4 linked regions of the Drosophila melanogaster genome follow. The protein of the gene in region 3 interacts with the protein of the main gene of each other region in a pairwise test. Each region holds a gene or a part of one and is shown on either strand. Other genes may lie near its edges.

Region 1 (4,010 bases), on a different chromosome or scaffold from region 3:
CGAATTTTTCATTGATGAATTGCATTTTAAGTGCCAAATCGATTTTGCTCAAAAGAACTGAAAACATTTAGAGCTTACACCTAATTGAAAATTTTATTGGGTCGCAGATTGGCGTGACTTTGTTCGCTCATTTAAAAATGTTTTCTCGTGGTGGTGTTTGCTCAGAAATAAAACAAATTTTTAAATGTTTTTTTTCAAGTGTTAGTGGTATGCAGTTTTTACTTGTTATTACATATATTTTTGGCAAAAATCGGTTACTCAGAGCTTTGATAAGACTATCTTTTGGTTTGACTGTTCATTAGATAAAGACCCAAACAAATACATTAAATGTAGGTAAACATTTCGTACCGTTCCAAAATGTTCTCTTTAGATTTGGATTTTAGACCGAATGTTCATATATGTATTTGATTTCCTGTTCAAATGTAATTAGAGGGTATCTCTCACCCGTAGCCTTATGATAAGGAAAAGCAATATGTCAGAGGCAAGTTTTTCTGTAGTCAATCAATTTTTGTTGTATAATGATAGCATATGCTTAAAAACCGTGCCTTCTTTTCTTTTTTTAAACACATGTTTTTGGGGAACTGCTGCTATTCATGTCTTCTAGATCAAGAATATTTATATTTAGAAGATAATTCTTTAAAATATACATAACTATATATAATATCCCATGCTTTTGTAGAAATATTGTGTGCGCGTGATTCTCGTTACTTTCTATGGTCAATTTAAACTAGATTAATTTTCCCAGCTCTATTTTCTGGCTATTTCCAGGTGGAGCACATGTGTAACTTCTACGTGTAGGTTTTGGCTCAAAGCTGTTGTTGTTTATTGGCCCATTTACATTTGAAGTTAACCTTAGTTGGCAAATTACGGAAATCGCTCGAGGGCGTAGTGTTTACCCATATGAAAGATACTCTGGGTAAGAATGCTCGGAAGATACTGACTATATTCGAGCGGATACTTGTTTGTTTGGTCAGACGATGGCTTTTTCTCTCTTTGTACGACTTGAGTCAATTTATGTTGACATCTTCTTGGCCATTGTTTTAAAGCTTCGAGTCAAGTTGAACACATCCGCTGGCGGTTGGGAAAAGAAAAGGAATGAAACCACTGCCAAATAAGATAGTCTGAATTCATTATTAATAAATTAAACTTTTATTTTATTTAACTAAACAAACGTTGCTTTGTTAATAACAAAAAGAGTCCAATTCTAGTCTTAGAAATATGTGCATTACTTTTGTCTTAATTTTAGCTCCAACAGAAAGTAACTAAGAACAAAACACGGAGTTACGATGCTATAGACTGTGATTAGTTCTTGATGCTTAGATACGAAGGACCCACTTGGCGGACGTACACACTCCGCTCGTTGGTCAAATACGGCGGACACTTGACGGTAAGTATGCCATCGGACGACAGTTCCGATCGCACATCGTTGGGATAGTATCCTCGGGGCAGGACGAACCGCTTGACGATGTGGCGACCCACGAAGGTGTCACCATCACGTCGCTTCTCGTGCTTGGCCTCCACGACCACAGTGTCGCCTGAGGTCTTCACGCTAATCTCATAGGGCTTGAACAGGTGCACATCCACATTGGCCTCGAAACCATCCTTTCCGACAATTACCCGACTTAGATCGGGTGCGGATCCAACGCGAGATAGTGATCGCTTCCAGTAGGGCAAGTCCCAGTCGTTCAAATCCCAATCGCGCCACAGCCGACGACGGTAATCCCAGTAATCCCAATCCGTATTGTTTGTAGCCGGGACAAGAGCCATTTTGTGGTAGTTATTATTCCTTAGGACAGGACCAACAGCAACGCTAGTTTGTATTTACTTTCCACTTATCGCGCTTTCTGATAGACGTCCACTCGCGTTTTCTGCTCTGAGCAAATTAAACTTGGAAACGATAGTAGTCGACGCTTATATAGCCATAAGCTTCGCCCCGTGGGATCAGCTCGGCTCAACACAGATTCTAGTCAATAGCCAATGACAGTTGTGACGTAGTAGGCACACTGTTCAAAAAAAAAAGCGGCATCCCAGTTAGGAATTCAAAAAATACGGCAAGCTGCTGCATCTTAAATATAGTTTTTACATCTGAAACGTTGTGTGATTATGAAATTTAAGTTATAAAATTTTTAATAAATGCTCTAAATATAATTCATCGATTTTTTTACCGCAGTGCACCAGTTGCAGTTACAGTGGCGTTAAAACTGGGCGATGTTTTCGATTGTTTATCTTTGCATTGACGCTTGTATATAAGGAAATGGGGCTGTGGGTCGAAAAAATGCCTTTGCATGTTATTTCCTTGAGGCGCTTCGAGATCATATGCTGGGTGGGTTGATTTGCAGACTAGTTTCCGTAGAGGCTATAAATTTTCAGCGGTTCTCCAAAGGTACTGCTAACCTGCTAATTATTCAGTAGATTTGAAATAAAAATCTTTATATGCTGAAAATTTTTCGTTTTTTATCCAACAAATACATATTTTGCTTTCCAATGATGCAGATGTTTGCGTGTCCTTATTTGTTTATGTTTTTCTCTTTCATTTACCAAATCATTCTCCCATATCGGCAACGCATTAAAAACGGTGGAAACATTCCAAAAAATGTTGGCAGAATTCGTATTTTGAAATTAATTACTCTTTGCTTCCGTTTGCAAATTAAAAAACAAAATCAAAGCAAGCCCAAATAAAAACCAACACATTTCTTTGACGGATGTGATTCTTTTCACTTTTTGACCAAATTCGGCTTTAAATTTTGTACACGATAGAAATTAACAGAGATACGCGGATTACAGATACACAATCTATAGATACAGCAACATAAAAGGGGGATTGAGTTTGTCATGACAAAAGGGCAATTTGTAAAAAAAATTTTGACGATTTTTTTGACGATTAGTCGATGGATGCGACATCTACGGAACATTTATGGGCCTGACCTGCCTGCCCCTCTTTATAAAGCCCGTGCCCGTAACGTAACACAATCATCGGATTGGGATTGGCCCACCCCATATGTCGCTGTAATTTGTTGTTCCAGCCGTCGGTGTTGTTATTGCTATTCTGGCATTAGATTTTGTGTGTGTTTTATAATAATTATAACAAGCTTCGCAGTTTCGCAATTTAGATGGCATTTAAGCATGTATTTGTACATTAAGTCATTTGCCATCGGACTAGTTCAATAGGTTTGTAATGCAGCACATCGTAAGACAGTCGAAGGCACACAAATAGATACGTTGTGTCAAGTTCGAAATAATATTATTATTAATATTATAATAAGTAAGTAAAAAGTATTTATTATCGTTGTTCTTATAAATTATATTACCCAATTTCTTATTTGTTATAAATATAGTCACATATGCTAAATAAGTATTTAACATCTTTAAAATCCGTACGAACAAAATTTAATAGTTAAATTTTAATATTTAAATATTTATATATTTATACTTATTTTTTGTATTATCAGTGTCTAGAGTGTCAAGTCTAGAGAAAATTCCCGATTGAAAACCAATTGAAGTGCCGCAGCTGGCGGAACAACAATACATTAGACCAAAACAAAGCAATTTACTAATTTGCTTGACTTTATGGCAAAATCGAATGAAAATCAGAATCGAATCCCTGTGGGTGTGGGTTGTGCACAACTTTCTTTGGCATCGATTGTGTGTGGGGCATTATCTAAGAGATGACTTTCTATAATCGTAAACATCATTAGCAAAACACACCCACCGCGACCTTCACCATTCTTAATTCCCACAGGGAGGTCATTCCCCCGATTTTCATGATTATGGTTATATATGTTTAAATCGTTTTCAGCAATAGCACGGGAATGAACTTAGTCATTTAACATGGTGCCAATGGACGTGGATAGGAAACAGATGACTGCATATACACAAAAGAGAGATGAATTCTTAAATATTTTAAATATTACTTATTACTTATTCAGCCTACAAGTATGCTACAAAAGTTTAAGACGGTCATGGCGAACGTGGCGTATGAGTAATAGCTGTAGTTTAAAATGGCAAGCAAA
Region 2 (5,525 bases), on a different chromosome or scaffold from region 3:
TCACTAATCTTTTGCAGAATTTTGCCGTGGAACTTCAGGCGGGAGTGGAGGCCGAGCTGGACATTGAGCTCTTCCGTGAAGCACTGAACCTCCAAGTTACTTTATATATACTGCTTACCAAACTGCTCCTTTCTCTTTAATTATTATGAATTAATTTTATGAAATTTAAAAACTGTACATTTTATGAAATATTATACAAGCAATTGTAAAATCAGTTTCTATACCATACATTTTGTTGTGTCTATAGTGGGACTGCTGAATTTCTATGATAATAAGACAAAAATTTTACTCACTAAACACAAAATTCTAAAGTGGACAGACATGGCAGAATTCACTTAAACTAGTCTAGTTTGCTAAACATACGCTGGATGGATCGACTCGAATTTTATAAGCGCGAAATGAAAATGGATTACGTTGTTGAACTAAATAGAAAAAATTATCTAGTTGCTGTAGTTCCCGGGCTCTGCCTCGCACTTCCTAGCGGGCCCTGAAGAGTACCGAGTGAAGTGCATCGATGTCCACCTCCACGCCAGACGAGTTTGTGGTCACGGTGCGAGAGCTACGGCCGAGAACGTTGAACAATACTGCGTGATATCTTTAAAGCATATCACTCACCTGGCCTTGTGCACCGAGCGACGGGAGGAGTGCGGATTGACCAGCACACAGTGCATGGGCTGGTCATCGAACTGACGATGGTGATAGGTATCTACGGCCTTCTCGGCATGTTCCAGTGACTTGTAAATAACTTCGGCGGTGCCGGGACGCACCACACGAGCGTCGTACACTGGGCCGATGTCGCTAAAAAGCTCGCGAATATCCGCAGTAGTCACGTTAGTATGCAGATTGCTCACCAGCAGGCGGTATCCATCCTTTGTGTTCGACGTACGCAGCGACAATGGGGATGGCGAACGGCGCTTGTTCTTCGATGGAGCAGCTGCATCACCATCACTATCAGTACCGCTATCGCTATCACTACCACCACCGCCACCAACAGCCTTTCTCCGGTTCTCGTTGGCGTAGATGCCATGAGAAATGTGAGGATCTCTCTTACCGACAAACAGACGAGACCGCAGCGATTCTGGGAGTTTACTTGTGCTTACTGTGTCGCGGTGGCGGCGCTCGAGAGGCTCCTTGGTGCTATTTGAGCGTCCAACTACGAGTCGGTTGGTCAGCGAAGGACGCTCAATGCGATTGCGGGCCGCCTCGTAAATGGAGAATGCATTGTTATCTATTTTGTTATTTAGTGGGGCCATGGACATCTCCACGTCGTCGCCGCGGTTCAGGTCGAGCCCACCAATTGAGTAGCGTGGCGACGCTTGCTTCATTTGCCCTAAGTGCAGTGTGCGAGATATTTCCTCTGAAAGTAGAAGAGTGCTTTTTAGGAACGGCTTGGCAGAGAAAGGCACTAACTAACCATCCTCGAGGTCCTGCATATTATCAAGATCAATATAGCGTCGTGGAGCAAAGGGTTTGCCCGGCTTATGGGATCTGGGGTCAAAGGTTCGACGCAAGCCGGACAACATGTGGTTACCCAGTTCAACGACCCCGTCGTCCGAGTCCCATTTCGCCTGAATGGTGCCGTCCGCATGGTTTGACATGCTAAGGCGGTGACCAAACTGACCGATGTGCACTCCCTTTCCGCGTGCGCGATGTGATGGCTCAAACGACTCTTCTTCGTCATCAATAAGTATTGGGCCCGCCGAACGGGCCTTCTTTCGCTCCAGCAACAGTTGGCGGGCATCGATGCCCGAGTCGCGCACGCTCTTGTTGATCAGATCCCGAGCATCGGCTATCTTGGCCCGTGTCTTCGCGGCAATCGTGTTTCTGGCATCGAAGGTGCGCTTTGCCGGCATATCAGAGTGAGATCCTCGTGCACCCGATGGCTTGAAAAAAGGCTTGTTCAGCAGCTGGCGCGGCTTGGAGAAGTTCGCATTGCTGCAATGGAAAACGCATTGAGTGACATTATATTTTTTCGGCTGTCCTGTAAATGTACTTACAACTTTCTGTCGAGGGGACGATAGCCGCGTTGCCCGCGCTTCCGCTCTATAATCTCGTCCAGACTCAAATCGATGTCCATGGCTCGCAGTATACGCTTTTCACACCCTTTCCTAAGCTATGTTTGAAGTAAAAACAACCAGATTCAAATTATCCTGACTATTCGAGCTACGTTCGTAAAAAAAATAGGACTGGCGTTTCACTGGTGACACTTGGGGTCGCCAACTATCGCCCGGCATTATCGATAGCAACTATCGCTTATTAACATTTTCGTGATGCTGGAAATAAAATGTAAAATAGAAACAGCAATATACTAACACTAATACAAATATACAAATAATACTATTAACTATTTGTTCATTCACAAAAACAGTTTTTGCATGTCTTAACATTAGTTTGTAGAAGATTGAAAATTCTCAGAACTGACAATGGTAGCTTAGAATACATAATACGTTTTATCCACTGACATTACGCGCCACTAATTCACAGTGTGCCCCTTCGCACAGCCGAGAACAATCGCGCTTAGGTGCTAGCCGACGTCTGGTCTGGTCACACTGCTACCTGCACAACAACAACAACAACAACACACTGAAAAACAGCAAAATAGAGCCAGCCTTAGCTACCAAATATTTATATTAGAATTTCAGCTACCCCAACTGCGAGTGCGCGCTTTTTACTGCGATTTTTTGGCTGCCCCTCACGCGCACGCACACGAACAGTGATTGCGCAATTCCAGTGGAACGAGTGGAGTGTGGTGGTGTGCGGTGTGTGTGTGTAAACAACAAGCGGACGACAAGGAAACAGAAACCGAAACAGAAACAACGGGAATTGATTGGGACGAGTGGAGCTTTTGATGGGCAACTCGCAACCGCGTAATGCAAGCAGAAGCAGAAGGACATCCCAGTGGCCACAAGGCGCAGCGGAACTAGGCGCCTCAGCCAGCGATCACCACTACCACCAGGAGGAGCTGTATCAGGAGCAGCAGCAGCAGCAACAACAGCCGCAACAGGAGCAACCGAGCAGCAGGAGAATCCAGTTCCAGGCCCACACCAACCAGCCAACACAGTCGCATCCTCCGGGCGACGAGGAACAGCCTGTACAATCACAGCAGGTAATGAGTAAGAAAAGTCGCAAGTGGGTGGTGGGTGGACGTTGTAGTATATGTGTAGGACAGGCTGATAAGGCAACCCATATATGCGCGTATAAACATACATTCGTACTTATGCACATATGTATGTACACTTTGTTGGCCATGTTTTCCCTCGTCAGCGCGAATAAATACTGCGTCATTAATGACATTAATGGGTGCTGGGTTCGCGTTTTCCCCCTTTCAATTACGTTGCGGCTTTTGACCCCTGACCCCCCACGAAACCCACTCTTCCTCGCGCCGCCCCACAGGCAGCACGTGTGTGGGCGCTCTTTTCCGCACTTTTCAAATGCCCCAAGTATTTCCGCATTCGCATACGACTTTCATGGCCATGCCAATTGAGCCTCCCGCTGCGCAAATTCTGGCTCCCCCTTATCAAATCCACCCGTCCACGTGCTCCCCCCTCTGTTTTCACTTTATGAATCTGGGGATCGCACAGCCCACGCGTAGATCCAGATCCACAGATCTGTACATTATGCTCCATACGCGTGTGTGTAGCCATACGGAATGGAATGGTGACCCTCAAGCAAAGAAACTCTGGCCACAGACGCGGGCTAGCATATGGGAACGACTTGTGGAAAAGCGTTTAGAAAATGAGATAAGACTTCGCATGCCGAAAACGTATTTAGTTCTCAGCAGTAGTTTATTAAAGATTTTTCACGTCAGCAATCTATATTAATAGATAAAAAAATTTTTGCACACAAAAAGCTCATAGCTCCATTATTTTTCAAAATATGGTTTAAATCAACACTTTTGGTTTGAAAGTTACCTAATAGCGAAACCAATTTAAATTCACTGTTTTACTCGGGTTTGCCTAAAAATGGCCTTATTATTTAAACTAAAAATCAGCAATTTAATGAAAAAAAACTAACTTTTTACCAAGAATGTGTCATAGTGATTGAGAACATTGAAAACATATGATCACTCTCGGTGGACACCACTGTATAGTCGATTTGCTCTCTCGCTCTCTTCTGCGTTCCGTTCCCAGCTGTTCGATCATCGGTGGCGTTGTTTGTTTGCAAATATTCAGAGGCCCATAACGCACGTGTCGTCGCCAAGGGAACATCGCAAAACCGTCTCCTACGCCTCCGTAGAAATTCATAGATTGCTAGAAAGTGTTCTGGGAATTCATTAGCTTATTTTTCCGGTGGAAAGGGCTGGGATAAGCGTTGAAAACAACGCAGGTAAGCCGTAATAAATCCGCTGAGCCCGTTTCAGGCCGTTTTGTTGGCTTCAGCACTGGTCATTCAGTATACAGGCAGTCCGCCGCGTGTTCAATATAAAATTAACTTACATATGTACATATACATGGGATAGATAGCAGTGAAGGGCGAGAATTGTGTACTGAACACCAAAACCTAATGGTCTGTCTTGTTTCAGCAACAGCTTTCCACCTGGAGTCTTGGCAGCCTTAGCGGAGGACGACTCAACTGGAGCTTCTCCGGTGCCCGCAACTCATTTCGTCATCGAAACAAGGCCACGCGAAAGAGGTAGAATCGCATTGATCGCCCCTTAAGTTTCCGTAAATAATATGCCAACTCTTGCTTGCAGCTTGACCTCACTTCATGGCTCTCGTCGTGGCAAGACTCAGTGGCACCGACCTCTGACCAACTCAATCTTCAACTCGCACTTTAAGGAGACCAGCAAGAACGATCTGTACCGTATCGATCATTTGGTGGCCAAGGGAGCCTTTGGCGTGGTCTTCAAGGTGTCCAGCAAGAGTGACATTAGTCAGTGCTACGCCCTGAAAGTGCTAAAGAAATCAAAGGTTGTTAAGCATTCGGTTCGGATACTGGCAGAGATAAAATAACTCCCCTACTTTTTTTATACAGCTCATCGAAGACAACAGTGTACGGCAGATAAAGGACGAGGCGGACATTCAGAAGGTTTGCGGCCATCATCCGTTTATCGTGAAGCAAATAGATCTGTGGCAAAACCGCCACAACCTCCATATTCGTGCGTTGAGATAAAACTATACTAACGATTTTATGTGTATACTAAATACTCTAATCCACTGCAGTATCGGAGTACGTACCCAACGGCGAGTTGTTCTCAAAAATAACTCACTTCTCCATTGATCTGGTTCGTTTATACATTGGCGAGATAGCACTTGCCTTGGGTGAGTAAAAGAGGTCTTAGGCCAGCAAACCAATATCTCACGTACGCTCTTTTTAGATTTTCTCCACAACGCTGGGATTATATATCGTGATGCGAAGCCGGAGAACATCCTGCTAACTGAACAGTTTCACATAAAGCTAACCGACTTCGGCCTTAGCAAGTGGCTCAAACTGGGGGCAAACACGCGCACCATGTGTGGCACTTTCAAATACATGGGTACGATCTAATCCAACTTAAACATACAAACACTTAAGAAATAGATTTA
Region 3 (4,427 bases):
AAGGCGGGCCCACAGCCGTCGAAGAAAGCCCCGGCTAAGGTGACTCCTGTAGAAACCGCCACCCCATCTGCGGCTCCGCCTTTGTCCTCTAAAAAGGTGGCCAAAGCTCCGGCCGTGGCACTAAAGAATCTCGATTTGGCCATGAAAGAATCGGCTAAGAAGGCCGCCGAAGCTGCTGACCAGAAGTTGGTCTCGAAGGCGAAGAAAGGCCAGAATGCTTCACGCAAGAACTTGATGCAAGTGCCGGAACCCGTTGCCCCTGAGGTGGACAATAAGAAAAAGTCTGCGCCTCCTAAACGTGGCAATGCGGAAATACCCACGGTTGTCCCCGCCAAAAAGGCCGCCCTGGTGCAAGAAAAGCCCAAGGAACAAGCTGCCGCAGCACCAAAAGCCGAAAATGTCGAGGTTCCAGCAGCCAAAGCTAAAAGTGTAAAAAAGAGCCTCGCCACTCCGGCAAATCCGAAGCCCAAGCCGAAACGCACGAAGAATGTTCTGCGTGGAAAAAGGCTGGCCAAAAAGAAGGCTTGGCAACGCTTTGTGATCGACTGCGCATGCGTGGCCGAGGATATGATCCTGGACCTCGCCGACTTCGAGCAGTATTTGAAGACCCACATCAAGATAAAGAACAAGCTCAACCAGCTGAAGGATCAGGTCACTTTCGAGCGCACCAAGAACTTCTCGCTGATCATCCACTCCGGTGTGCACTTCTCCAAGCGCTACTTCAAGTATCTGACCAAACGGTATTTGAAGAAGGTCAGCCTGCGTGATTGGTTGCGGGTAGTGTCCACGGCCAAGGACACCTTCGCCATGACCTACTTTAAGATTCAGGACAAGGACTTTGATGACGACGACGACGACGTTGCCGACGACAATGGCGGAAAAACCTTTGCCTAAAACAAAGATCGCATTTCGAAAACATGTATATCCCATGAAAGCTGTTCAAGTGTGTAGACTTCTTAAATTTCTCAGTATACTTCTGTTAAATTTCCCACTTGAAGTTTCACTAGTTCTCAATGTGGCTCATACAATTTTTGCTCATTTGCTTCAACATATTCAACGATGAAATATCAATAAAAAAAAAAAAAACCCTAACAAGAGTATATCATATATGTATGTATTCTCATCCGAAGCTGCAGAGTTCCCTTGAAGAACTTAAAGATTTCATTTTACGGTCAGTTAGGAGGAAGGAGCGGAGCGTTCCTCGGTCGAATCGACTTAAACTTGAACGATTGACATCTCGGAGAGGGCCTCGAGTGGCATTCGTCATGTTTTGATTGGGAGGAGCCAGTCTTGTTTTCCTTACCTTTTTACGCTTTTGTAAATACCTTAAATTGCCCCATTGGACGGGATTGTGTTCGATGCCAGGCGGCTTAATTGCTTCGCTGTGGGTCTGCCAAATGGACGAAACCATGGGTGGGGATCAGAGGGTGCTCCTCTGTCAGCAGTTGGCCCGGCCTGGCCGTAGGTGGTCCATAACGAGCTAATGAAATGCGAATCCAGCCAAAATGCGAACAGCGAGGCAGCCCAGTGGAGTGAGTCAGGCAGGCAGCTGTCAAAATCGAAATCAACCTGAGCACTCGCAGGTTGGCTTCTTTTCGACTTGGCCAAAAGAACACAAAGGCTGGGCAAAATATTCACGATTGCCGCCTGGAAGGGAATACAAAGCGAAAATAAACATAAACGTCATGCAAATCGTATGGTAATTGCTGTCATCGCCGACTCTTGTCAAAACGGGTTGAAGTGTTTTGTAAATGCCAGAAAAAATTAAATTCCAGACATGCAGACGAGTACCAATAATAATAATAATAATGTAATAAGGGGCTTGCGATGGGGGGGAAGTCAAGAGTGATCCACACGCGATTATTATTTTGTCAAATGGGAAAACGATATCGGGCCAAAGCAGAGAGAGAACAGCCTCTGTCAAAAGCCAATTGGCCATTGGTAATTGGAATAGGCCTGACATCCAATGGTGATTAAAGTTAATTGAACTAACACCCATAGTTGATAGATGATGGCGTTCTTTGTCAAACCGAATATACCAACGTAAAAAATACTTTAGCATGTGTTAATTAGCATTAACGCTATTTTATTTAATTAATAGTGCACATTTGTATGATGTATTTCACTCCCTTGAAGAGCCACTTTTTGCAGCAAATAGAGCTGGCATTAAAACAAGTATTAATTTTGAACCCTGTGTCAGGGCCTTATTAATTTGAAAGCAAATCCCTTGTGACATGGAATATGAACCGTGCAATCAAGTTGGCTTTTAATTGTGCGTCAAACATTCAGATCCAGAATCTTGGTAATAGGCTCAAATCCACTCCGATTCTAGGTAGGTTGATCCCTGTTCCTGCTTAGGCTAATTAACACATCGATTACATCGTTGCGCGGACAGTGTGTGTCTTTAAATTGATAGGCTCGTTAAAGTGTCTACCATTCCGAGGCCTTCTGGTCTTGACTTCGCCAACTGGTTGGATCTATTTTTAGGGCCAGCAGGTGCAGCTGCCTCGGAAACTGCGCAGAGACGCGTTTCTCGGCCAGTGCCAACCAGTTGGCGAGACCCCATCATCATCATCGCCATCGCCATCTGAAGATCGCCATCCAGCGTAGGTGACGGACAGCCTCGGGCTGCCAATATCACTTACTTTCAGACAATGGATAGCCACACAGGCGTTGACGATTTGTTGGCCTTAATCTACTTGAGCAAATATTAGTTTTGAAAGGTCTTTGTACCCAGCTCAAGTTTATTTTCTACTTCCCAAGCCCTTTTAAAGTTTTAAAGAATCTTTGCAGCTCATTTAACTGGCACTTTTCTGCTCGAACGCTTTTGGGAGTCTATTTGAAAATGATGGAAGGTGAAAGGTGAGTTTGTGACTGAAATCATATATACTTTTACTTACTAGCTATTGATTCCCACAGTTCCAAGTCGATTCAAGGCAACATCGTGGGTCTTAAGAGTACCAACGCCGTGATACTGGCCACCGACTCGAAGGAATACGAAATGTATCTAATAGATGACCGCATTTAGTAAGTCTATTCAATTTGCAATGCCTTAAAATAACTTATTAATTATTCAGCTGCTGCGCACCTCGTTCCGGCATCGATCGGAACATAGTTCTGGAAGTGAGTTCAAAGGTGGCAAATCTAGTCCGGGATCGCGGCCAGAATGTGACCGTGTCCCAGGTGCGGGACATGTTTTGCGAAAAGTACCAGACCGCCGAATCCCCAAATGTCATGATAGCTGGCCAGGACAGCAGGGGCCTTCACTTATTCAGCATGGAGTGTGGAAAGTCACGCATGGTGATGTATGGTGCAAAGGGCAGAGATAAGGAGAACATTGTGGACTTTCTCTCGAAAGACTGGAATGATTTCATAAACCTCAGCGAGGCTGAACAGTTGGCCAGGAAAGCGCTTAGGTGGGAGCACGTGGAAATGTGCACCATCTATAGGGCTAAAGAAATCGAGGAACAAGGTGCCAACATGGACTTCGATATGGACGACGAGACCTCTGTATCGCCGGCCAGCAATTTCTAGATCCTCCTACTATCTACATGTACATAGTAGTTAATTGTATCATTTCGATTTATGTTCATATAAATGAATGGTGGCTGCTCCACTGCCCCCCCCCCCCCTGTAATTAGCCACATTTCTCAGCGTTTTGCAAGTTGGCCTAAAATAGATTAGCCGCTCCTCCCACTGGAAATGGTGCAGCGCCAGCACAAGTGATTTATACTCCTCCGACCTGGCCCTTGGATAATTAATAATGATTAAAAGCTGGCGCCCATCAGCGGGCTGGCAGCTCAGAGTCCTTGTACCCGCTATGGGTATGGATATATAGCTCTATATAGATCCCCACTAACCAGATCCGCTCGTCTGCCTCCGGGGATCTGGGGACTGAGGCGATGTCCAGCTGTGCGGATTAACTTGAATTTATATGTTGTGGCTGCATTTGAATAATTTCATATTCGAGCTGGCAATCGGGATCTCTATCTTTCTCCTCCTCGCCACGCCCCCTTCCTTTGCGTCCATCTCCCCTGTGCGTGACCAGGCTCCATTTTCCCCTACTCCTGCGTCCACTTGTGTGGTCTTCCTCCATTGACAGCTCTTGGGTGGCATTATGCTGTCTGCTCCGGATTTTCACTTTTATGGCCTGCAAACCGGCAGTTGCTAATTGATTTCCACGTAGATTGGACTCGTAGTTAATCGGCTGCTCTTCGGTTTAAACGGAGCTCAAAGGGATATGATATGAGATACTTATACTTTCAGATTAGTATCTTCGTAACTTTCGTTCCATTCCCTTTCCATTTAGCTCGCTTATCTTAATCAAAGCCTTATCACCCTGTGCATTATTTTGGCACATTCAAATTGAAACCCCTTTTTCGGTTGATAAGCAAATATTTCGCCAACACTTCAATCCACTTCCCGCA
Region 4 (8,554 bases), on a different chromosome or scaffold from region 3:
AGCCCTCGCACTGGATGCGCAAGATTTCACGCCGCTCTTTCCGCGATGGGATGTGTATGGCAATTTCGTGATCGAAGCGACCGATGCGACGTAGTCCAGGGTCGAGGACATCGGGACGCGTGGTGGCCGCTATGACGACTACTGATTGGCCAAACTCGTTGGCCTTCAGGTTGTCCAGACTGCTTATCAGCTGCGAGACAATGCGACGTTCCATATCCTTGGACGCCCACTGACGATTTCCTCCGATGGCGTCGATTTCATCGATGAAAAGCACACAAGGCGAGTAGCCAATGGCCTGGTCAAAGACCTCGCGAATCCGTTCTTCCGACTCACCAGAGATGCCACCAATTAGCTCTGTGGCCGGAATTTCCATTAGAGGCATTTTTAGTTGCTGTGTCGTAAAGCAGAGATGATTAATATATGAATTAACGATTCAATGTTCATTTATAAAACTCACCCCGCTAATGGCACGAGCAAGAAAGGTTTTGCCACAGCCTGGCGGCCCATGAAGCAATAAACCTCTCGAAGGCAATAGACCCAATTGAAAGTAGAACTCCGGCGACTTAATATGGATCAGCATTTCACACAACTCCTTAAGAGTGCTATCCATGCCACCAATGTCCCGGAAACTTTCCGTTGGGTGCTGCACCTCCAGATCCCTTTTGAACTTCCGAAGGCGATCGCGACTTTGGTTTTGGTGCAACTGCTGATATAAGCCAGGCACATTACGGTGATCTTTGGAACGCGGAACGGCGTCCTCTGAAAGATTTTTCGCTCTGTTGCCCACAACTTGGTGCACTAAAACAAAAAGTTTAGGTTTCATTGATTTTACAAAAGTATTTAAAAAAAAACTCACGCTTTTGAATGGCCTCCGAACTGCTAACGTGAATAGTATTCGGTTTAGCTACTAATGAAGAATGTCATTTAACCAAGTCATAGACTAATGGATTGATAACCCACCTTTCTTTGCAGCCACTGCGATCTCCGGCACTTCCTCCATCAGGCGTTTCAAAGCACTGCCCTGCACTGCTGGAGTAGGAGGAGGAGGAGCAGCAGCAGCAGCTACCCCATCTCCGTTGGTGGTTTTTGTATTGGAGTCATCTTCGTTCTCGTCTCCACTGGATATATCGATGGGCTCGCTGATTGGCTTGGGCGCCAGCGGCTTTCTTGGTTGACTATACAGGCTGTTCATCATATTGTTCATCACACTATTCGTGGGTGGTGGCTCGGAGTCCTCGCTAACACAATCTTCCTCGGAACTGCTTACCTTGTCCAAGTTATAGCTTTCCGAAATGATCGAGAATGCTGTAATAGAAATATTTGTTAAAAACAAATAACCACAATGTTCCATGTTTACCTTGGTGCACCAGCTGTCTGAATGGTCCGAATTTGCGTCGTGAATATTCCGGATACTTTTGCATCAACTCCCTGGTCATCTGTTTCACATCCAGGTAGGTTTCCCCGATGTGCTCCTCCAGATACTGAAATCGAAAGTAGAACGCAATTAGCACACGATGCGGGTAGCCTGCGACCTAACCTTGTTTTCCCTTGCCCAAAATCGCCGCCCTGCAAAGGGTTTTTGTGTGTTTTTTTTTTTTTTTTTGTGCTGCTTTCATGGGAATTTACCGGCTATCGGGCAGCTGGCTAGTTTGTGGATATAAACAACGGATTTGGACACACCTTCTTTACTCGGATCGTTATTAGATGGTCGTGCAGCAGCGGCTTGGCTTTCTTCATATTATTCGAGGATTACTTCTGTCTAGACATTCGCACGAGGACAATTAAATCACTTTGCCGCTCGCAAAATGCTAACGAAGCGAAGCTGTGGCTTCGATATCTTCGCTTTGGAGGCCGTTTCCACTCTTCCACATTTTCACCATGGTTTCGTATATATCGAACGAGATTTATATCAGTCAAGCGTTAATATTTAAATAATTTCTACTCGCCAGACACCTCAAATTGTTTTATTTAAAATAATATTAAGCTAACGATAAGAGTTTTAAACCTTTTGACTTTTACGAGAGCGAAATTCTCGAAAATTTTTCGGTGTGAACACGCAGTTAAGACCGAAGTAACTGTTCATCGATAGCGTTGGCGTTGTCCAAAAACTATCGATGGCCGAAGTCAGCTGTTCGGCCTTGTTATCTCGCTCCCGCCCCCAGCATAGTTGCTGACTCCGCTCTGCTCTCTCGCTTGCTCTCTGAACGGAACAACTGAGTAGTCTGAATTTAACAAGTAACCAAACCAAAAATTAAATGTGCTTTTACATCAACAAACGCTGGACGCGCAATAAGTGAGGTGTTAATTATGCGCCGCAGCAGCAACAGCAGCCAGCAGTGAAAAAATGTTGCACTCCATCTGAGTTCGGCCGCACAATTGTTTTGGATTTTGGATAAATCGCAAAATTGGAACGAATAAGAAACAGCCAGAAGAACATCGAACGGAAAAAAAAGAAAGCGCGATGTGCGACGGTGAAATTGGCGATCCGGTGACTCAGCCACGTTCCGAGGGCGGTGGATTGGTCACAATGGATCAGGAGACCCGGACGCACTACCTCGACGCGGCGACAGATAAGCACCTGACCAATGGATCGCCAGATCCAGAGCCCGTGGATCCGCTACTCGTGGCCCAGTGGTCCATCGAGAATGTGACCAGTTGGGCCACCTGCATGGAGCACTTTTCGAGAACACTGCTCGACTGCCTGCGCCAGGAGGCCATCGACGGCGAGGTGCTGCTCTCCCTCACCGAGGAGGATGTACGTGATATGCGCTACAAACTGGGCTACAAACTCACCTTCGGCGAGCTCAAGAAATTCTGGATAGCCGTGCTCAAGCTGCAGCTACTGGTGAAGAACAGCTCTGCGGAATCCGTAATACTGGGCATCGAGTGCCATGGGAACGGGAACTCGGTATACATGCCACTAGCCAGCACCGGCTGCGGTCCACCGTCCTCATCCACGTGCCCCTGTCCGCAGGCCGAATGCCCCAGCTATGTGTCCGATTGCGATACCTATTTGCGCATGGGCGGACGCTATGTTCCGCCGGAATACTTCAAGACCGCCATGAGCTTAGGTGAGTGGTCCACAACCTGCCCCCCTTCAATTACGAAGGTCAATTGTCCATTGATTGCTTCGGCGGGCTTATCGGTCGTGTGCCAATTCTCGAGAGCTTTTCGCTTTTCTCTATATAGCGCAGTTCAGGCATATACTTTCCTTGCGATAGCCGAGAAGTAAGAGGTTTCCCCATGGGTATGACTATTATGTAGTATATATATAGTAAAATTGTTGTTTTATTTATGAGTCGAACTAATGTCCCGTCAGTTGACTAAGGACAACGCCAAGAAATAAAAAATAGTTTTTAGGAGAAATAGTTTCACGACTTTATTCTTTGGATCTCAGCTTAAGACTAAAAATCAAATGCAAATTGGATTGAGGAGAAGCCTCAGTATTTGAACAATATTTGTATTTCGGGAGAGCCTCGCTCTTGGGTTCTTAAGATTAGGTAGCGTTGAAAGAGGGCAGTCAAATCTGCTTAGGTCAGGCTTTAGGATGTTTACAAGAACGGCTGCGCTGCCAAAGATAAACGAATGCTGCGCAGCTGGGATACGTTATGGAAAATTACTAGAGTGCATTACTGATTTCTTTGAAATAATGGAAGTGGCTGGTTTGGACCACCCAAATACGTCACTCCCCTTCCCTTAAAGAGAAGCCTATACTTGGGCTGGGATTGATGGATATAGTGTGGGAAATGGAGTTTCTTCTATTTCTGTTTGTTGTGGTGTGTTTTGATTTTGATTTTTTCTTATTTTAAGTTTTGCATACAGCATCATAAATGGTTTAAATGATACATATCTTAAATATGAGTACAACAAAATTAGTGCGATTATTACAATGATCATTTGTATGTAAAGTGTAATATTGTTCTCTGAAATCATCTCAACAATGTCGTTGTGTTTTACAATTTTTATTTTTGTTATATTAAGTGGTGTGTATAGTGGTGTCAAATCTATTTCTGGTTCTAACAGATTTTCACTTAAAATTATATTATTGATTTCTATTTTGCATTGCGTTACTCTTATCATTTTGTTTCCTTCTATTTTTATTTTATTAATTGAATTTTGGCAATTTTGGTTAAGAATTGTTTGGGTTAAGTTCCAGGTTACAATTGTGTTTGGTTCTATGTATTTTATTATTTCGTTCGTGTGTACTGGCTTAAAATTACAAATTGGATTTAAGTGTTTAATAATATTGGTGACACATTCATTTTTTACTTCTTTATTTTCGGTATTATAAACTTTATTTTCTTTTTCAAAATATGATTGTGTGTCTGTGTAATCTAGCTGATAGCCGTTGGAGTCTGGGTAAGGAATTATTTTAATTGTGCTTATTAGTGAAAGGTAAATGGGTATGTGGGATATGATTAATACTTGGTTATCATTGTAGTTAATCCAAGTGGATGTTTTAATGTTCAAAATGTTTTGGCTGTTCACATTTTCAAGTTTGTCGTAGTTTAGTAATTTGGGGTTAAACAGTCCAAGTCTGGAAAGCTGCATAGCCATTTCCAAATCTTCTATGTATTCCGTAAACTGCATTAGTTCGAACAAAAGACTGTCAATGATGGTGTGGTTATTTTCATAATTCTGTATTTTTTTGCATTCCGTCATTTATCAATCGTATGGCGTCGTTGAGTTCATGTAATTTTACTGAGTTATGGACGTTGATTTCAAGTTTTTTCTGTATTTCGACTCGATCATTTTCATCTAGTGTTCCAAATAGGTATTTAAAACCTGAACCCACAATGTTAATAAGACCCCGTTTGTTTCTATGTTTCAGGGTTATTCCGGCTAGTTCTCTTTTTATTTTATTGTATAAAAAATTGATCTGGGGTGCATGGTAATCGGTTCGTAGTCTTTGCTCAAAATAGTCAACCACGATGTCTATTTCAGTTAAATTGATTTTTAAGGAGTGATGTTCAAAGGAGGATGGTATCTGTACTGGCTTATCAGAAAAAAGGAGATATCCGTGGTTGGTGTCAATATTATTAATTTGAATTTGTTGTCCATGAACAGCTGTGATCAGTATAAACAATAGTGTTATCGGGTACCAGGTGCCTTCCAGGTGTAGTTTCGAAATTAGTAATTGACGTCGTCTCTCCGCTTCTTCGCAGAATGCTCTTAGGCTTCCTCTGTATGGTGTCTCCCTGAAGTTCTCCAGAAGTTTGTAGTTTGGTGTTTGAATTTTAAATTCCGCGATGAGTCTTGCTTTAAGGGTAGGCCAATCTTCGATGTTCGGAAGTCCCAAAGATCGTGTAATTTGTCCGTCCAAGTTCCTTTCGATGGCTCCCAGTAGAATCCTCTGTTGTCGGACATCATTTGTTTGGTAGAGCGAAATTACGTAATCCACTCTGCTGATAAAGGTGTGAAGGGTTTCTGGATCACCCTTGAATGGCATAATGTCTTTAAGCTGCCGACGGGCTTCGGCAAGGTTTATGTCGCTCAGCGCAATAATTGGTTGTGACATTTTTATTGTAAAATTTTTAACTTTTGTGTTTTATTTTTTTGTTTTGTTTCGGATTCAATGTTATTATTATTTTTAAGCTTTCTAGTTTCACTTGTTTGTTTTTTTTTGTTTTGTAAATTTTTGTGTTGTATTATTAAAATTCTATATTGTTTTAATTTTTTATTTTTATATGTTGGTTTTAAAACTTAGTTGCCTTTGGACTTAATATTTTTGTTTCGTATTTCACTTCCACTTATTATTGGATAACCGAATTGGAATTATAATCCAAGTTGAAGAGTTTTCACGAATTTATTTTGGGAGATGTTTCGAGCACTGGACTATAAAATTTAACTTATTTTCCACTCGAAGGTTCTTTTTTTCGGATACTTTTGTATCCTACCGACTGCGCCAGTAAAATTGTTGTTTTATTTATGAGTCGAACTAATGTCCCGTCAGTTGACTAAGGACAACGCCAAGAAATAAAAAATAGTTTTTAGGAGAAATAGTTTCACGACTTTATTCTTTGGATCTCAGCTTAAGACTAAAAATCAAATGCAAATTGGATTGAGGAGAAGCCTCAGTATTTGAACAATATTTGTATTTCGGGAGAGCCTCGCTCTTGGGTTCTTAAGATTAGGTAGCGTTGAAAGAGGGCAGTCAAATCTGCTTAGGTCAGGCTTTAGGATGTTTACAAGAACGGCTGCGCTGCCAAAGATAAACGAATGCTGCGCAGCTGGGATACGTTATGGAAAATTACTAGAGTGCATTACTGATTTCTTTGAAATAATGGAAGTGGCTGGTTTGGACCACCCAAATACGTCACTATATACATATGCATATCTAGATAAGAAGCTCTGGCATATGGCAGTTAACTTTCAAAGGAAATAATATATTATATAAACCTCTGCTCCATTTTATCAGACTTTTGCTATCATTTGCCTTAATAATCCCAACAAGCTACGAAAAAATATCATACATATCACACTTTGATCTTTTTAAACATTAAACATTTAGTTCTTGTCATGTCTGCCAGCATTAATAATTCTAAAATTCTGTAACCAGAAATAAACGCTTTCCATGTGAGAAACATTGCTTTAATTAGTAAATCTAATTCTAGAGTATATCACTCAATCCAATCACTACCTCAGCGATAGGCCAATAATAATGGTTTCAATGTCACGCGTGTTATAAATGTTTAATCAGACCATACGTCATTAAATCCCATTTATAGTTTCTGTACTACTACCTATTCTACGAAAGTAAACGAATTTACCTTCGAGTTCATGGGTTCATTAGCTATGACTTCTAGAGATACGTCACACTCTAAGTTTAATAATGTTTACTGGTCACTGGCGACGCGTTACTATTATTTATTTTGAGCACTTCGGAGGTTATTTGTGTAGACGCCGCTCGCATTTATTTGTGTACTCATATGCCTCTCATTCTGGCTAACTGGTTTTGTTATTTTTGTGTAACTTTGCGTGCATTAAATTTCAAATTCCCATTTGTTTATGATACCCTTCAAACGGCTGGTTTTACTTAACGGGTAAATTTTCAAAAAATTGAACGGCAAAGGAAAACCTAAAAACAGTAGCCAATCGAGTGTTGAATTTTATGTATTATGTTATGTATTTATTTATCTATCTGACAAGTTTTAGCTGATTATTCAAAAAAGGATTGTTCTGTAAAATAATGTTTCACTTGAGTTATAATATTTAAGTGATCAAAGTTCAAACGAAACAATGGGCTTATCTAGGCTAATTTGCTATCAGTGGCTTTTTATTTCGATAATGCATTTATCATTACAGACTATGCTTGTTTTTCTATTGTCATGGCCATTTCAATAGATAAGTCTACATTTTGGCAGATAAAGCTGCTGAAAGATAATTCTTTTGGTAGTAAATATTACACTTTTATCACTTTCGGAACGGGGTCAAACACACTACCAATAATAATACGAAAATAAAATGGTTTCCTTTTCTTTGTTAAAAGGTTTCCGCATTATATACTAAATTATTATACAAACAAAGATGACTATCAGAATAAAGTACATACGTTTATTTGCTCTGATATCTCAAGTTTAGTCATCATTGTGATTCAACTTCATAAATTCGACATCTTGAGATCAATTTGAAATACAAACGTTTTTAGAAATTATATATAGAGAGTTTATAGATTATGGTTGCAAATGACCGATTCCATAACTATTTTTTTTCCGCCTGCTGAGCCAAATTAGTCACACTCTAAATCCGCATGGTAACATCATATTTTTTGTACCATCAACAGGCTACTCGTTCGTTGTCACCTGGATAACATCGTTAACAATGGTTATTGTGCACGAGCGGGTTCCGGATATGAAGCGCTATCCGCCGCTGCCGGACATCTTCCTGGACAACGTGCCGCATATTCCGTGGGCCTTTAATATGTGCGAAATAACCGGCTCACTATTGTTCACCATTTGGGTGGTCGTGCTAACCTTCCACAAGTATAGATTGGTCCTACTGAGGCGATTCTTTGCTCTGGCGGGCACGGTTTTCCTGCTGCGCTGCGTCACCATGTTGATCACGTCGCTGAGCGTACCGGGAACGCATCTGCAGTGCAGCCAGAAGGACTTTGCCATCGATGATCCCAATGTGGACATGGTGGGCGCCTTGATTATCCGCATGTCACGAGCCTATCGCATCTGGAGCGGCCTGGGCATGTCCATTCAGGGAGTGCGGACCTGCGGCGATTATATGTTTAGTGGTCACACGGTGGCCTTGACCCTGCTCAACTTCTTTATCACAGAATGTGTGTTATTTATTTATATTTCCTATGCTGCTTACTGACTTACACTCTGATCTTTCAGACACGCCGCGGAATCTGTACTTCCTGCACACGCTGACCTGGCTGCTCAACATGTTTGGCATATTCTTCATCCTGGCTGCCCACGAGCACTACTCCATCGATGTGTTTGTGGCCTTCTATATCACCTCACGTCTGTTTCTGTACTATCATACTCTAGCAAATAACAGGGTGAGCATTTAACAGCTTCGTTTTTGTTTAGAAAGGGCATTC

The links.
Region 1: the proteins of yip3 (region 3) and CG7409 interact in a two-hybrid assay, tested with the Drosophila melanogaster proteins (one large-scale study listed by BioGRID).
Region 2: the proteins of yip3 (region 3) and S6KL interact in a two-hybrid assay, tested with the Drosophila melanogaster proteins (one large-scale study listed by BioGRID).
Region 4: the proteins of yip3 (region 3) and SMSr interact in a two-hybrid assay, tested with the Drosophila melanogaster proteins (one large-scale study listed by BioGRID).

The regions. Positions count from the first base shown.
Region 1 is NT_037436.4:7,752,287-7,756,296, reverse strand, and holds CG7409 (uncharacterized protein), read right to left. Parts: upstream 1,889-4,010; 5' UTR 1,768-1,888; coding exon 1,303-1,767; 3' UTR 1,129-1,302; downstream 1-1,128.
Region 2 is NC_004354.4:18,785,984-18,791,508, forward strand, and holds the start of S6KL (S6 kinase like), read left to right. Parts: upstream 1-2,480; 5' UTR 2,481-2,848; coding exon 2,849-3,106; intron 3,107-4,178; exon of another isoform or gene 4,179-4,326; intron 4,327-4,522; coding exon 4,523-4,632; intron 4,633-4,693; coding exon 4,694-4,910; intron 4,911-4,974; coding exon 4,975-5,098; intron 5,099-5,162; coding exon 5,163-5,261; intron 5,262-5,317; coding exon 5,318-5,476; intron 5,477-5,525. Other genes in the region: CG6961 (uncharacterized protein), read right to left, coding at 478-559, 616-1,357, 1,415-1,935, 1,998-2,077.
Region 3 is NT_033778.4:23,243,252-23,247,678, reverse strand, and holds yip3 (yippee interacting protein 3), read left to right. Parts: upstream 1-2,279; 5' UTR 2,280-2,845; coding exon 2,846-2,862; intron 2,863-2,919; coding exon 2,920-3,027; intron 3,028-3,077; coding exon 3,078-3,534; 3' UTR 3,535-3,635; downstream 3,636-4,427. Other genes in the region: RpL22-like (ribosomal protein L22-like), read left to right, coding at 1-894.
Region 4 is NT_037436.4:7,375,138-7,383,691, reverse strand, and holds the start of SMSr (sphingomyelin synthase related), read left to right. Parts: upstream 1-2,217; 5' UTR 2,218-2,461; coding exon 2,462-3,071; intron 3,072-7,783; coding exon 7,784-8,287; intron 8,288-8,345; coding exon 8,346-8,512; intron 8,513-8,554. Other genes in the region: smid (smallminded), read right to left, coding at 1-391, 458-798, 857-907, 961-1,305, 1,358-1,481, 1,681-1,737.